2 linked regions of the Drosophila melanogaster genome follow. The protein of the gene in region 1 interacts with the protein of each later gene in a pairwise test. Each region holds a gene or a part of one and is shown in the gene's direction. Other genes may lie near its edges.

What was found. The genes of interacting proteins can lie anywhere in the genome.
Region 2: the proteins of CG11164 (region 1) and Cpr47Eb interact in a two-hybrid assay, tested with the Drosophila melanogaster proteins (one large-scale study listed by BioGRID).

What each region holds. Positions count from the first base shown.
Region 1 is NC_004354.4:13,666,423-13,674,403, forward strand, and holds CG11164 (uncharacterized protein), read left to right. Parts: upstream 1-1,591; 5' UTR 1,592-1,664; coding exon 1,665-2,025; intron 2,026-2,097; coding exon 2,098-2,759; 3' UTR 2,760-3,151; downstream 3,152-7,981. Other genes in the region: DNAlig4 (DNA ligase 4), read right to left, coding at 1-714, 774-938, 1,006-1,318; CG15760 (uncharacterized protein), read left to right, coding at 4,138-4,227, 4,879-5,024, 5,814-6,006, 6,065-6,758, 6,823-7,772.
Region 2 is NT_033778.4:11,253,194-11,258,647, forward strand, and holds Cpr47Eb (cuticular protein 47Eb), read left to right. Parts: upstream 1-1,973; 5' UTR 1,974-2,051; coding exon 2,052-2,696; 3' UTR 2,697-2,790; downstream 2,791-5,454. Other genes in the region: CG13223 (uncharacterized protein), read left to right, coding at 3,408-3,616, 3,678-4,081, 4,132-4,485, 4,541-4,659, 4,870-5,104, 5,162-5,229, 5,289-5,454.

The sequences.
Region 1 (7,981 bases):
ATTTGTACGCCCGCTGAATGTAGGTATGGTCCAGCAGACTCTGGCCATTAAAATATAGCAGATCGTACACCACGAAACATGGCTGCCAGCTGCCCTCCGGCTTCAGGCTCTTCACGTCCGTATTCTCGCCTTTTTCCCGAAAGCGCAGTTTGTTGGTATCCCACACCATCATCTCGCCGTCGAGTATGATAGACTCCAGACCCAGCGGCAGAAGTCCCCTCAGCTTTGGCGTTAAGGTGCCGTGATCGTAGCTGTGACCAAAGTTTCTGGTGTAGTCCACTCCATTGCGGGAAATGTACATGAAACGACCCCGATCGATGTGCAGCTGAAAGCGTTCGCCATCCATTTTGGTCTCCAGATAGAGCACATCCGACTGCATCAGCTCCTGGATGTCACCGGGGAATCGTTCGCACAGCATGGGACGTATCTGGTGGAATGGCCGTATGACGGAATTCAGGTTTACAAACTTGACCGCCGCCTTGCTGTCCTTGCTGCTGCTGGCGTCTAGGTCGGTGGTTCGGTCTGCCAGCAGATTGCACACATGTCCCAGATCGGAGCAGCGCTGGTAGATATCCTGCGCCTTGGGGTGCAGCACACCGAAAATCTTTTGCTCACCGATCCCCAGCCCGAGGCTCTTAAGCAGCAACCGAATTAGCCACTTCTGTTCCTCAGGCGAGGCCTGCTCCGTAAACCGGATGAGTTGCTGCTGCTTAACTGCAAAGAGCGGTCTCATTAAGACGTTCAGTCGTTCAGATCAGTTTAAAAGCGCCCACCTTCTGTGTCCTCGTTGGCAATGGTGTCCAGCATCTGATGGATTTCTTTCAGTCTCAAATTGCTGGGCGGATTAAAGCACCTTGGCTTAAGCACGGAATAAACAACATCACCGTAGTCCCGGTACATGTTTCCGTTGCGGTGCTGCAGCCTGATGGCATCGCTGGCTAGTAGAGACAACAAAGAGATTCTAAATAAGCCTAAATGCCATTGCCAATACGTTTCTGCACTCACAGTCCGTGGGTAGCTGGAGCACCCTGATGTAGAGCCTGCCCAGCGCGGTGATCTGCAATCCATAGGTATCCCGACCAGTGTCCGCACCCGGAAGCAGCAGTCGCAGCACGGAATAGAAGCTACTGGCACCGTCCTCCGGCTGGTCGTTGTTTAATCCGGTTTGCCGGCGAAAGGATTCGCGGTGGCGACAGAAGGACTCGTAGTAGCTCTTGAGGACCTCCTCCTTGTTAGCCACCTTTTGCGTGGCCTTAATCTTCTCGAACAGGCTGCAAATATCCCGGAACTTGATCGTGCTGGCTATATCTACGCTCATTTTGTTGTTTAAAAACAATATACTGTTGTAAACAATTTCATCACTGTGAACATCTGTTCAAGCAATGTGACCGCGCTTCTCAATCAAAGTTAATACCCATTTTAGACTAGTTGCAATATTAAGATGCGGACGTTAGTGGCAGAGATTATTTAATTTTTAAGCTCTTCTATTTGGCATAAAATAGATAAAATAGTTTATAGGAACAAGTTAAAATTAGCAGACTATATAAAATACCAAAATTAATCGATAGACTTCTATCAATAACCAAAAAGGCGGCAAATCGTTTGTTTTGGTTCGGTCCACAGTTATTGACTTTTGCTTCACGCTTGGCAAGTTATTCGAGAAAATGGGCAAAAAGGAAACGCGAGCGAGAAAACCAAAAGCTGATCCGGATGCGGAGGGATCTGCCAAGATGTGCAAGGCCTCGGCACTGAAGAAGGTGTTCTTCATGTCGGAGGAACTGCTGCCCAAAGATGCGGACGACGGACACCTTCGGCTGGAGATGTTTTTCCATCCCGGACATGGCAAGGAGGCACTGTTCATAACCCATCCCGATGGCAGAATGATGGAGCTGGTGGCGTTCACGGAACCCCGACGCAGTTGGTTCGTGGACAGCGAGGTCTGCTCCAACGGCAGAATCTACATGACCGCGCCCGTGGATCCCACGTTCCTGGCTCTTCATCACCTCCGAAAACATTGTGCGCAAAGTAAGATATTATCATTCGCTTTCGATGGTATACTATACTATTGTATTCTTGAAAATCTTTAACCACAATCAGGAGCAATATCGCTGGACAACATTGCCGTGGAGGAGGCCAGCACCAGTCGTCTGCTTAACGAGATCCTCGACCCAGGGAACCTTAAATGCGTGGCAGATGTGAAGAGCTCTGGCGAACAGAAGTTCTACAAGTACAACCAAGAGCGCACATTGGCTTGGTTGGCTCTGAAGACGCGCCAGGTGGCGAAGATCCTGAAGGAGAAGCAAGTCCACTGCGGCCACAGTGCGCAGTCGCAGAATTTCGTGCGAAGCGAGAAACTGGTAGCTGAGAACGTTAGCAACGAAATGGACTACACGCGCATGGCTTGCGATTATGTGGGACGGTATTTGGATGCGGATCTGCACGGCTTGCTCACCAGTTACCTGCACATTCCTAGCGAGATTCAGGCGATTGTTGAGGAGAAAGCAGCTTCTCAGAAGCGCAAGTCGGTGGCGGGCAAGAACGAGGGCAGCGACTCCAAGAAGATCAAGCTAAATGAGAGCGATGCTGCTGCCAAGCTAAAGTCCAGCGGTCTAGTGGACAGCGATGGCGATCCCAATGCCACCATCACATCGCCCACAGCGGCGCCTCTGAAGGAGCGCTCGCTGACCGCCAAGGAGAAGGCCCTGGCCAAAGGAGCCAAGGGCACTAAAAGCATCGCATCGTTTTTCAAAGCGAAGTAGATTAACGTTTCACAGATCTTAAGAATAGGTTTTAACTCCTTATTTTATATATATACTCTATTTAATACAAATGTACACTTTTTTTTACAATGAATATAGTACTTTAAAGAATTACTTTTGTTATTTTAAGATTTGTATTCATAAATTTGGTATTTTGAAAGTGCGCCTTTTTGGCGCATGCGCTGTTTGATCATCTCTCTTGATTCCGTTTGGTAAATCCCCATCAGCTGTTGGCGTTGCCAGGCTTCTAAGGAATTGGTTTACTTAGAGGCTTCAGTGCCAAATGTTGCGAATAAAGAGTTTCTTAGTCGACATATTTTTTTAGGTATACCATATAAGCATATTAAGTAATGCTAATTAAACATATGAAATCAGAGTATACTAATAAAACTAACTAGAAACGAAATTAATTTTTGGGGATTCATGCAACACATATGATTTCAATCCTTAGTTCATTGCGCGGGGTGGCAATCCTGGCCGTCAGTTACAAAGCTGCTGGCTCCTTTGTTTCCGTTTTTGTCGCTCAGTTGTTGCTGTGCGCGCTCCCACGTTCGAGGCTAACGGTGAATTCCGCTTTGCGCCTTGATTCGCATTTCGCCACCCCCGTTACCCATTCGCCCGCAACCGAATATCCTGCTACTCCTGCTCTTGTTGTTGTTGTTGTTTTCTATATGCCTTGAATTTTCGGAACAACAATTACAGGGGTTACATTAGTGAATTTTCCCGTTAGCCGTGTGTCCCAAAGCCAGTGCTCAAGTTTAAATTGTGAAAGGCAGAGAAAGGAAAAGAGTGGCGTCACACGAAAGAAAATTTTCTTTGGCGTCGTCGAGGTGTTTGTGCCTTAGTGTGTGTGTATGTGTGTGTGCGAATGTGTTGTGGTTGGTGTGGCATAAGATAAATAATACAATGCAGCACTCAGTTAGCAACAAATTCTCTCTTCTCTGCAGCAGCAGCAACAACAACGGCAGCAACACCAACAATCGCAACGCAACGCACAAAAGCATGCTACGGTAAATTGCATTTGGCGTCTGTCAAGGACAAAACAAAGCGCTGTTTGTGTGAGTCCGACCACAACAACAATAGCAACAACAGCATGTGGTACAAATAACGGAACTGCAAAGTATCAACAGCAAAAGAAGCAAGTAGAAAGCCAGATAGGAAAGCAAAACAAAAGACAGGAACAAATCGCACACGAGGGCCAAAACGGACACAAAACGGAGGCTGCGACAAGAAGAAAGCGAAGAATCGAAGAAAATAAGGGAGAGGCACACACTCCCCGCACCTCCTCCCCTCACCAGCCCCGTAGGACATTTGGCGCCAGTCCGAGCAGCAACTGCGACAGCGGCGTCGACTGAGGCAGCGTCAGCGGCTGAGAAAGATGTGGCTCCGTCCCTCTCCCTCGCACACAAACGCGCTGCAGTGTCTCCTGCTCTCCTTGTTCCTCCTTTTGGGGCTGCTGCCAGCGAACGTAAGTGCCCTTCATTTCATCAATGTTGCAAGCACTCAAACTAGCATAATAACCGAAAAACAACGAAATGTTATGCTGTAGTTAATTTTTAAGCGCATTTTACACATGTAAATTGTCAAGGTGATAAAAATCGCTTGTGAATTCATTTAAAACAAGACACTATACGTTTCACTGCATGCTTTTGGGAACCTTTGTATGTGCGAGCAATTTAAACTTTGGTTTTCAACACTGTAATATTTTGATTAAATACAATTATTGTGCGCTTGTTGCAATTTGGGCCCACGAAACGCCTTAAAAAAAGATAACAGCTAATCTTTGTAAAAAGTTTTTTAAATAAACGCAAGCGCATCCATGTTGCATGCACATTTGAATTTTAAATTGATTGCGATTGCTTTCCCAACGGTAATAAATGCATAGCACACAAACATAAATATGAGCACAAGAACAAGGGCGCAGTACAGTGGTCGCTCGCTATACAAAAACACCACAAAAATAACAAGCTGTTGTTTATATTCTTTATTTATTGGCAATGACAATTTCAAAGGTGTATCGACAAAAAGTGGAATACATTATTTTTTATCATAAAAAATGTGCAAATATTTCTCATGATTAAACGAATAATATATGCAATGTCTTGTTCCATTTTCCCAGGTGTCTGCCAGATTTTGCGAGGGCTGCACTCAGGGCTGTTGCACCCAGGGCTGCTGTCCGCCGTACCAGGGCGGGCCACGCCCCCTTCCGCCCTCCTCGGACTCGCATGTTCTCAATCTGTTCTTCGCCACCCACTGGTTTTTCTGGTGAGTAGTGTTGACCCGGAGAAACTCCTCCTTTTGGAAACTTCTCTGTCTATCTAACTTATCTATTCGAAATTGTAAAATAATAGGAATCTTTCGGAGACAGTGATTCTTTTAATTGCGCAAAGTAGAAGTGATTTATTTAGCTACTGCGATGGTCACGGTCATCATGAATTGCACTGTTTTTGTTTTTGTGTTTGGGGATTCCCCGGAGGTCGTCTGCAAGGCCGTTCAATGAGGCGGGTTTTTGGGGCGTTGGAATGGTGGGATGGATTGGATGGCGTGGGTTTTCAGTGTGCTCTGGCCGGACTTCCAGCTGATTGGCATTGTGTGCCATGCGAGAGATATTATTATTATTGGCAGAAAAGGTGGCGCCCAGCGACGGGGTTGCGTCAAGTCAAATGTCGAGTCAAGTCGAGAGGCTTATGCAAGCTGTACCCCCGTGCTATGCCACCACTACCATCAGTGCGACCAGCACATAGTACCGACCACCTCCCTTGGGGGCTGTGGAAATGGCAATGCCAACTAATGAGACACAAACGGAACCCGCACACCGCCACCCAGCTCATATAATCCCATCTCTTGGCCATCGAAAAGGCAAACAAATTTCAGTCGGAATTCGATTACGGGAACAGCAGGACACGGATCCGGATCCGTATCCGCACCCACATCCGCATCCACTACTCCAATGGGCTTCTTCATTCAGTCGCGCCAGCTGCAAACCGAGCAGTGAATAACGATCCTCACTTTGATATTACAAAGATTGATTGAAAATCTATATTCTTATTGCAGGTGCGTGGTTGTGGCCATCATCTTGGCCATCCTGTGTGCCTACTCACTATGGAAGAAGCGGCGGACACTATGCGGCTGGGGATTCAATGAGCACCACACCCAATCCGAGGGCGATTCCGCCGGCTCCTGCTATGCACCACCACAATATAGTCGCTGCAACTCGTTTCACCATCCGCCGCCGCCATATACGGAGGTAATGTAATCATATACATGACCGGAATCGATTCGCTTAACAATTTCCATCTTCTCAGGTGACCTCCAAGCCGGATCTGTATCCACTTGTCTTCACCTGCAACAGCGATTCGGGCAATGGCAAGGGCAACGGCAGCTCCAGCTACCTGATGGTGCAGTACTTCCGGAACTACATCGTCCGTCCGGCTGCCGGGGGATCCCTGAGTGCGGCCAGCACCGTCGACTCCCTAAGCTCCAGCTTCATTTGCAATGCGAATGAGGCGAATACCCTGGTGCCACCACCATACTCACGGGCAGCCAGTCCGGAGTTAGGACTGCATCATTATGTGGCCCATGCCCATGCGCATGCCAATGCTAATGTCAATGCCAATGCAAATGCCCATGGACACGGGAATGGCCATCTGAGATCTGTGGAACAACAGGCGCCATCGCATCAGGTGCCAAATGCTCCGCTGGCATCTGTGCACTACGCCATGCCGAGATCGGCATCCCAGCTGGTGGAAACGGATGCCTATCAGCCGAGACTGATGCCCGCCCAGACGCAGGCCCAGCATTATGCCACCGTGGCACTGGGCAGTGCACCGGGCGGAGCAGCGCTCTACAGCACGCGGCTGCATGCATCTCACGAGGAGGGAGTTGGCGTGGGCGTTGGTGTGGGCTACCTTCAGTCCCAGAGTGATCAGCACTTCCGGTATATGGCGAATAGCAGCAGCAGTCTCAGCGACATCTTTGTGAACAACAGCTGTGTGGCAGGTGGGTATTGTGATAAGGAATTTCCTATTAAAATACTTATTTATTGTTATATGATTTCTTGCAGGAATGCTACCCGAAAGCGGAGGAGCTGGTGGTGCCTTCCATGGCGCGGAAAGTGGATCGGCAACACAGGCTGCCTCCCTGAATAGCCTGGCAATGGGCGGCTTGGGAGGATCGGTAACGGGTGCCGCAGGCACATCGGGAGGATCTGGCACACCGGTGATATACAGCAATGGCTGCATCCAACCGAACCCGCTGCATAGTCTGGAGAACTGCTGCCAGCCATCGGCTCAGGTGTCCGGCGTGAGTAGTCTGGCCAACATTGGAACACCGGGCTCGCCGCCTCAGGCCACCAGTCCGACGGGCGAGGTGCGTGAGATTCTCGACCAGATCCGCCAGCTGCAGGCGGGCGTTAGCTACGAGCAGCTACTGCTGAACGGAACTGGCGCCAAGCCCCGGCTGCAGCATACGCTATCGACGCCCTCGAACTCCCAGCAGGTGTTGCAGCCCATCCTAACCACATCCGCATCCATTTCGGGCGGCACCAGTGGGCGGAGTAAAAAGTTCTTCACCTCCGGCAGCAAAACGCAACCCAATAAGGCTCTGTACATACCCATGGCCGCCATCGGAGGTTCCGGATCGGGCGCACAGCGTTGTGTGCTCAAGAGCCCGGTGAGCAGTGTCGTCAGCGGTGCCAGCTTCTTTGTGAATCGTGGACGAGTTGCACGCAAGGGTTGGATCACCCGATCGGCACCCACAACGCCGGGCAGTGCCCTGCCGCCCAATCGCCTCGGGGATGATAGTCCGCTGCTGCTTAACGAGCACGATGAGGATGCCATTGACGATGATGAAGATGAGGAACAGGAGGTGGTCGATCGCCAGCGGAATCATCAGGAGACCCAGCGGGGTCATGAGGATACCGACAGCGAAACAGAGGCGGAGGCCAGGAATCATCGTCGCCAGCATCGCCATCATCGTGGTCATCGTGGCCATCGGCGCGGACAACTTGAATAATAGTGGGCGTGGTCGTTGGAATCGCCAGTGTCATTTAGTAGTTGTTGTTGTAGCTCAAGGTTCTCCTTTAGAAATAAGCTTTTAAACGAAAATGGAGAAATGTTTGGGAGCCGGCGGCACGCTTCTTAGTCTGAAGAATCCTGAAGAAAAGAAACGATAGTAGATAAGTTCCGTTTGTAGTATTAACAAGTTCTGTAAGATTTCTATAG
Region 2 (5,454 bases), on another chromosome or scaffold:
TGACTGTGATCTTTTGAATTTAAACTTTGGTTATCCTTTATGCAGGATCAACTCCACTTGTCTCTGCACTCGCTCGCAAGTTGTAGCTTATGTGTCTGATCTATGTATCTGTGTGTGATCCTGTCTTCAAGGAGTCACCACCGCAACTAGAACTTAAACTCACTTCGGATTCGCGACTTGATAGCGGGTACTGCGCTGGGAGGCTCGTCAAAAGTGCTTTGACTTGGCTGCAGTTGCCACAAACGTTTTTATACCGAAATCGCATTCACTGCAGCTCACAGCAGAGCAGCGGCAGAAGCAGCATCCGCAGCCAGATGCAGTGCAGCAGCCCAGATTTGCAGATTTGGCGGCTGGAAGGGCAGGAGGAGCCGACGACGAGCGGAGGCCGAGCGGGATTCGAAACAAACAGTGTTTGTCTGCCTGACAGCAACAGAATCGGAAGAGCTGCCGTCGCTGCCAGTGCACCACGTAGCGTATGCGCAACGAGTTTCAAATGCAAATGGGCGTTGCGCATACGCCGCGTATGCAGCTTACAGCTCACAGTTCTCCGCGGTGTAATTTATGTGAATTAGCAATGCGAACTTCATTTGATTAGTGCCCCCGCTGGATGCTCGACTGGATGCAATAATTCGTTAAGTCAAATATTAATTAAAAGATTACAGATGTTGCAATTGGTTTCGATTTGATGAATTGGCCATTTGGCCACATGCCTGCCAATGAGTCGAGATAGAATCTCTGCCGACTGACATTTGAATGGGCCGCGGGATGGGGCGTAGCCAGCTTGTCCATTTCAATGCATTGTTAAAGAGTATTATTTGTCTTTGTTTTCCCTATGTAGACCGGGTGAGCCTGCCCTTTTAGGCCAATTTCGCTGACCAGGTCGACCAGGCACCACTCCCAGCTGCACCAGTAACTCGCTCCCATTTGGCACATTTTTGCCGGCCGGCTAAGGCTTAAACTAAAGAGTTTTCGGCTTAAACTTTAAACTTTTCCAGCGTGTAGGAAATGTCAGTTGCAATTCATAAAAATTACAGCAATAGCTGCTGCCAAAATCCAGCCAACTCGGCGTTGGAAGATGATCACGAACATGATGAACATCGCCCGAGATTTTTGGCCAACTCCCGCTACCCGTTGGTTTTTCCCTTTCGTTCGTTTTCCATGTTACTTGGCCAATTTCGCGGTTGCCCGCGTTTTGCTTTGGCCTTCGGGCGGCTTTTCAAATTGCAGTTTTTCGCCGAGAGGAAGAGTTGTTTGCCGCTGGCTTAGTGCATTTTTCACATTTGACATACAATTTGGCTTACTCACTTTACTACTAGCCGATGCTTTTTGCACACACTCACGGTGGCCAAGTAGTTTCCCGTGTGATGACTGATGACTGATGGATCGCGTGCGATTCGAATCCGAAACCGATATATGGACTCGTTATAAGCGCACCTCAAATGTATCTTAATTTATGCCCCTTTGTCTTCTGGAGCGTGTGTGTAGCACTATGCTAATATGCTATGCAGTTTCCTAAACATTGGCAATCAATCAGCTTGCCTAGATATTTCGGGCACTTTAAGTGATGGATTGACTGGCAGCGAATGAGAAACAAGTTTATGACGTGTCTTGGTGGGATTTTTTTCGATTGCTGGAATATTCGTATAACCGGCCCAAATCGATCTCATTACAGTGCCCCATCATCATGGGCTTTATCACTTGACCTCTGTTTTTTCTTGTTGACTTACGTTTAAGCCAAGTCGCTGAATCACAAATATGCAAATGTTGTCGCTAAGATGTGAGTGTTTTATTAAGTCACATTCTGCGCGCTTCCATAGAATTTCTTTTGTGTTTTTTCCGTTTTTTCTTTCGCTTTTGTTTTGGGTATATTTCTGTATTTTTTGGTTATGGCGTAATGGGACTGAAAGATGTTAATTCGCGGCTGCTGCGCACATTAAACGCCGGTATATAAAGTGGATGGAAGATGTGGTAAGCCAAGTCGTCCGTCGGTTCCCGCCTAGAAAGCACCAAATCTCTCCCATCTCTCTCACCCCACAAGAATAGCCAACGAAATGTTCAAGATCGCCATCTGCTTGTTGGCCCTGGTCGGCGGATCTCTGGCTGCCAGCATTGGCCAGGTTGACAGCACCACCGAGAAGCGTGAGATTGTGCCTCTGCTGAGGTTTGAGACGAACAAGAACCCCGATGGCTCCTTCCACTTCAGCTACGAGGGCGGTGACCAGTCCGTGCGCCAGGAGCAGGGAGTGATCGAGAACGCCGGCACCGAGGACGAGGCCTTGGAGGTGTCCGGTATGTACAGCTACATCGACGCCGATGGCAACACCGTGGAGGTGCACTACACCGCCGGAAAGAACGGATTCGTGCCCATTGGCACCATCATTCCCAAGGAGATCACCGAGTTGGCCAAGTCAGCTGCCCTTCTGCCCAAGGTTTCCGAGGATGAGCAGAAGTATCGCAAGGCCCGCTCCCAGGAACTGGACAATAAGGAAGTTGCTGTAGAGAAGGAAGCCGCCCCAGTGGAGAAGGAGGAGCCTGTGGTTGCCAAGGAATCGGTTGTGGTGGAGAAATCCGAGCCCCTGCCCGCCGAGTCCCAGGTGGCGCCTGTCCAGGTGGTCCTCGATGCCGCGCCCCAAGCCGAGGTCAAGACCGCCATCGAGGCCGAGACCGAGAAGAAGGTTGAGACCAAGACTGCCTAAGCTCTCCTAGAACCTAGACTACTCAAGTATTGTTTAATTTAAAATCAAGTGCGATCTAATTTAACTGGCTAGCAATAAAACGATTCCCTATCTGAAATCCGCATCTTTCTCGATTCAAATGGAGCAACAGCAGCTGCATGTGAAATGCGAATTCCGTGTTGCATATAAATACTTATCATAAATTTCGTTATGGTTAGTGCTAATTTAAGCAGAAAGCTGGTCGAAGAAATATTATCTCACCGACTGCAAACTATTGGTATGACGATCATGGCTTATAACTTTATTGGAGAATATACAAAGATTAACGATTTTTATAATCAAGCGCTAACGGATTGGTGAGCACATAGCAAATGGAAATATTTTGTTGATTAGTAATGGGACAAAGCAAAATACATTTGGAGGAATTTGTAAACAACCCGAAACTCAAAAGTTATTCCCAAAAAAATTTTTATGGATCTCATAAAGATGGCCTTTATTAAACATTTACAGTACTCGTTTTTATGTTTGTTTTTGCGAATTAACACTAACGAGAACAACAGTAAGCATATTTTATTAAATGGCAACCAAATAATCTTCTGTAAGTTGATGAAATTTCAAACCTTTCTTATTTTAACATCATAAGATGCCTAGGGTTTTTGATCAGCTCACAAGAATAAATAGTCGGGAGACTTATGAACCAAGCTAAAAATGCGTTCCGAAATATCTTGCTCCATGGTGCACGATCTGCTGGAGTCACAAAAATGCAAATTTGTGCAAACGACACCTGATTGTCTAATCAATATGAATTTGTTCAACTACCTGGGATGGCATTATTGCAAGGTGGATGTCCGAAATAGTTTCAATTCCTTCTGGAGTGTGTTGGGCATGTTTCTGATTACCATTTATGTCTTCTGGATGATGCAAATAACAATAAAAAACTAGTGAGTACAACAATGATATCAAAATGTACTACCAATATGATTGAACATACTACTACCTCAGCTTCTGTCCAACTTTGATGGTAATCGCAGACTTATTGCGAATGAACGAGAGCACGGCTGGAGTTACAGTTCTGGCCATTGCAAATGGATCACCGGATTTCTTCACGGCGATTGCCTCGAGAGTGCAGACCTCCAAGCACTCATTCCTCTCGTGCATGTCGCAGGCCATGTTTCTGCACATCTTTGTGGCCGGACTGGTGATCCTGACCAAGCCCTTCAATATGCGGGCAAACACTTACCTGAGGGATTTCGGTTTCCTGTTCCTCAATACGGTCTACATGGATTACATCCACAAGCGACCCAAGGGAATCAGCTGGCTAGCTGCGTTGCCCAGTGCCTTCATATTCGTTGGCTATGTGGTGGTGGCCATCGTTGATCAGCATTTGCTGATTGCCCGCATTCAGAGTGAGTTTATTGTTTTATCAGTTAGCAGAACATCGCTTACTCTTTATCAGAAATGGAGCAAAGACAACTGAATGTGGCTGAGGCGTTGCAGCTGGAGGAACTGAAGCCGCAGAAGGAGATGCCACTGAAGCGGCAAGAAATCGATCGACCCTCCATTGGACACGGAAGTCGAAATAAGCGAATATTCCGGCAATTTTGGAATACCGTTGCCGAATTCGACAAGGATCGATTTCATCGGGGAACCTTCCTGGTGAAGCTGTATCTGATAGTGAAGCAACCCATCGATATGTTGTTGAGAATACTCATTCCAAAGGTCGACATGGAGGCACCCCAGTACGGATGGTCCAAGCTGCTCTTTAACATCCAGGTGGTTCTTGTACCCACCTACATAGCCTACATAATAGGTGAAGTTACCTTTGAAATTTGCCGGACTCTTTCACCTCACGATCTGTATTCCAGTTCGAGGATATAGCATTGCGGGCTTAGCCGTCTATATGATTGCGCTGATCCTAATGATTCCTGTGGCTACATTGATATTTTTTCTCACGCGCACTGACACCCCGCCCATATTTTTCAGGGTAAGTTTTTGTTATTTCTAGCGCATATCTCAGCCACGTTCTCATATGTATAACCGGTTTTTTATTTATGACAAAGAATATAGAAATAAATATGTGCTAAAACTAGGCTAATTTGACCATTTAATCTCAAATAATCTTACCAATATTGCGAAAAACAAATAATATTTTTAAGATCCAACTTTAACCAGTCTCATCCTAACTAACTTACAGTTTACATCTGGCGTGGGTTTCATGGCCGCCGTCTTCCTGATCTTCTGCTTAACCACCGAGGTGAATGCCATGTTCTTTACGATGGCGACCATATTGCAAGTAAGCCAGGAATTCTCACTTGCCACGGCCATTTGCTGGGCACTAAGTAGCAACGATTTGGTGGCCAATCTGTCACTGGCCCATCAGGGATGGCCTCGCATGGCAATGACGGCCACATTCTCAGCACCAGTATTTGGTAGGTAATCAGAAGATATTATCGAAGGCTATATATAAGATTTACATTCCCCAAAAGCATCCTTTGTTTTCTTGGCCCTGCCATTGGTGGTGAACTCGTTTGTAAACGCGCCCGGTAACATATTCGTAAGTTGTAGTACAGTAAATGTTGCAATATAAAGTTTTGTTAAGGGATCTGCCAGCAGCCAACGGAAGGTGGATTTGGGGAGACGGTTTGCATCTTCTTGGAGGTTGGAATGGGCTTCTCCATGCTTTCCGTACTAACCACAAACTTTAAGCTGCGACGAGCTTGTGGCTTTCTACTCGTTTCCTACTACATTTTCTTCGTGGGAGTTCTAATTCTGCTGGAGA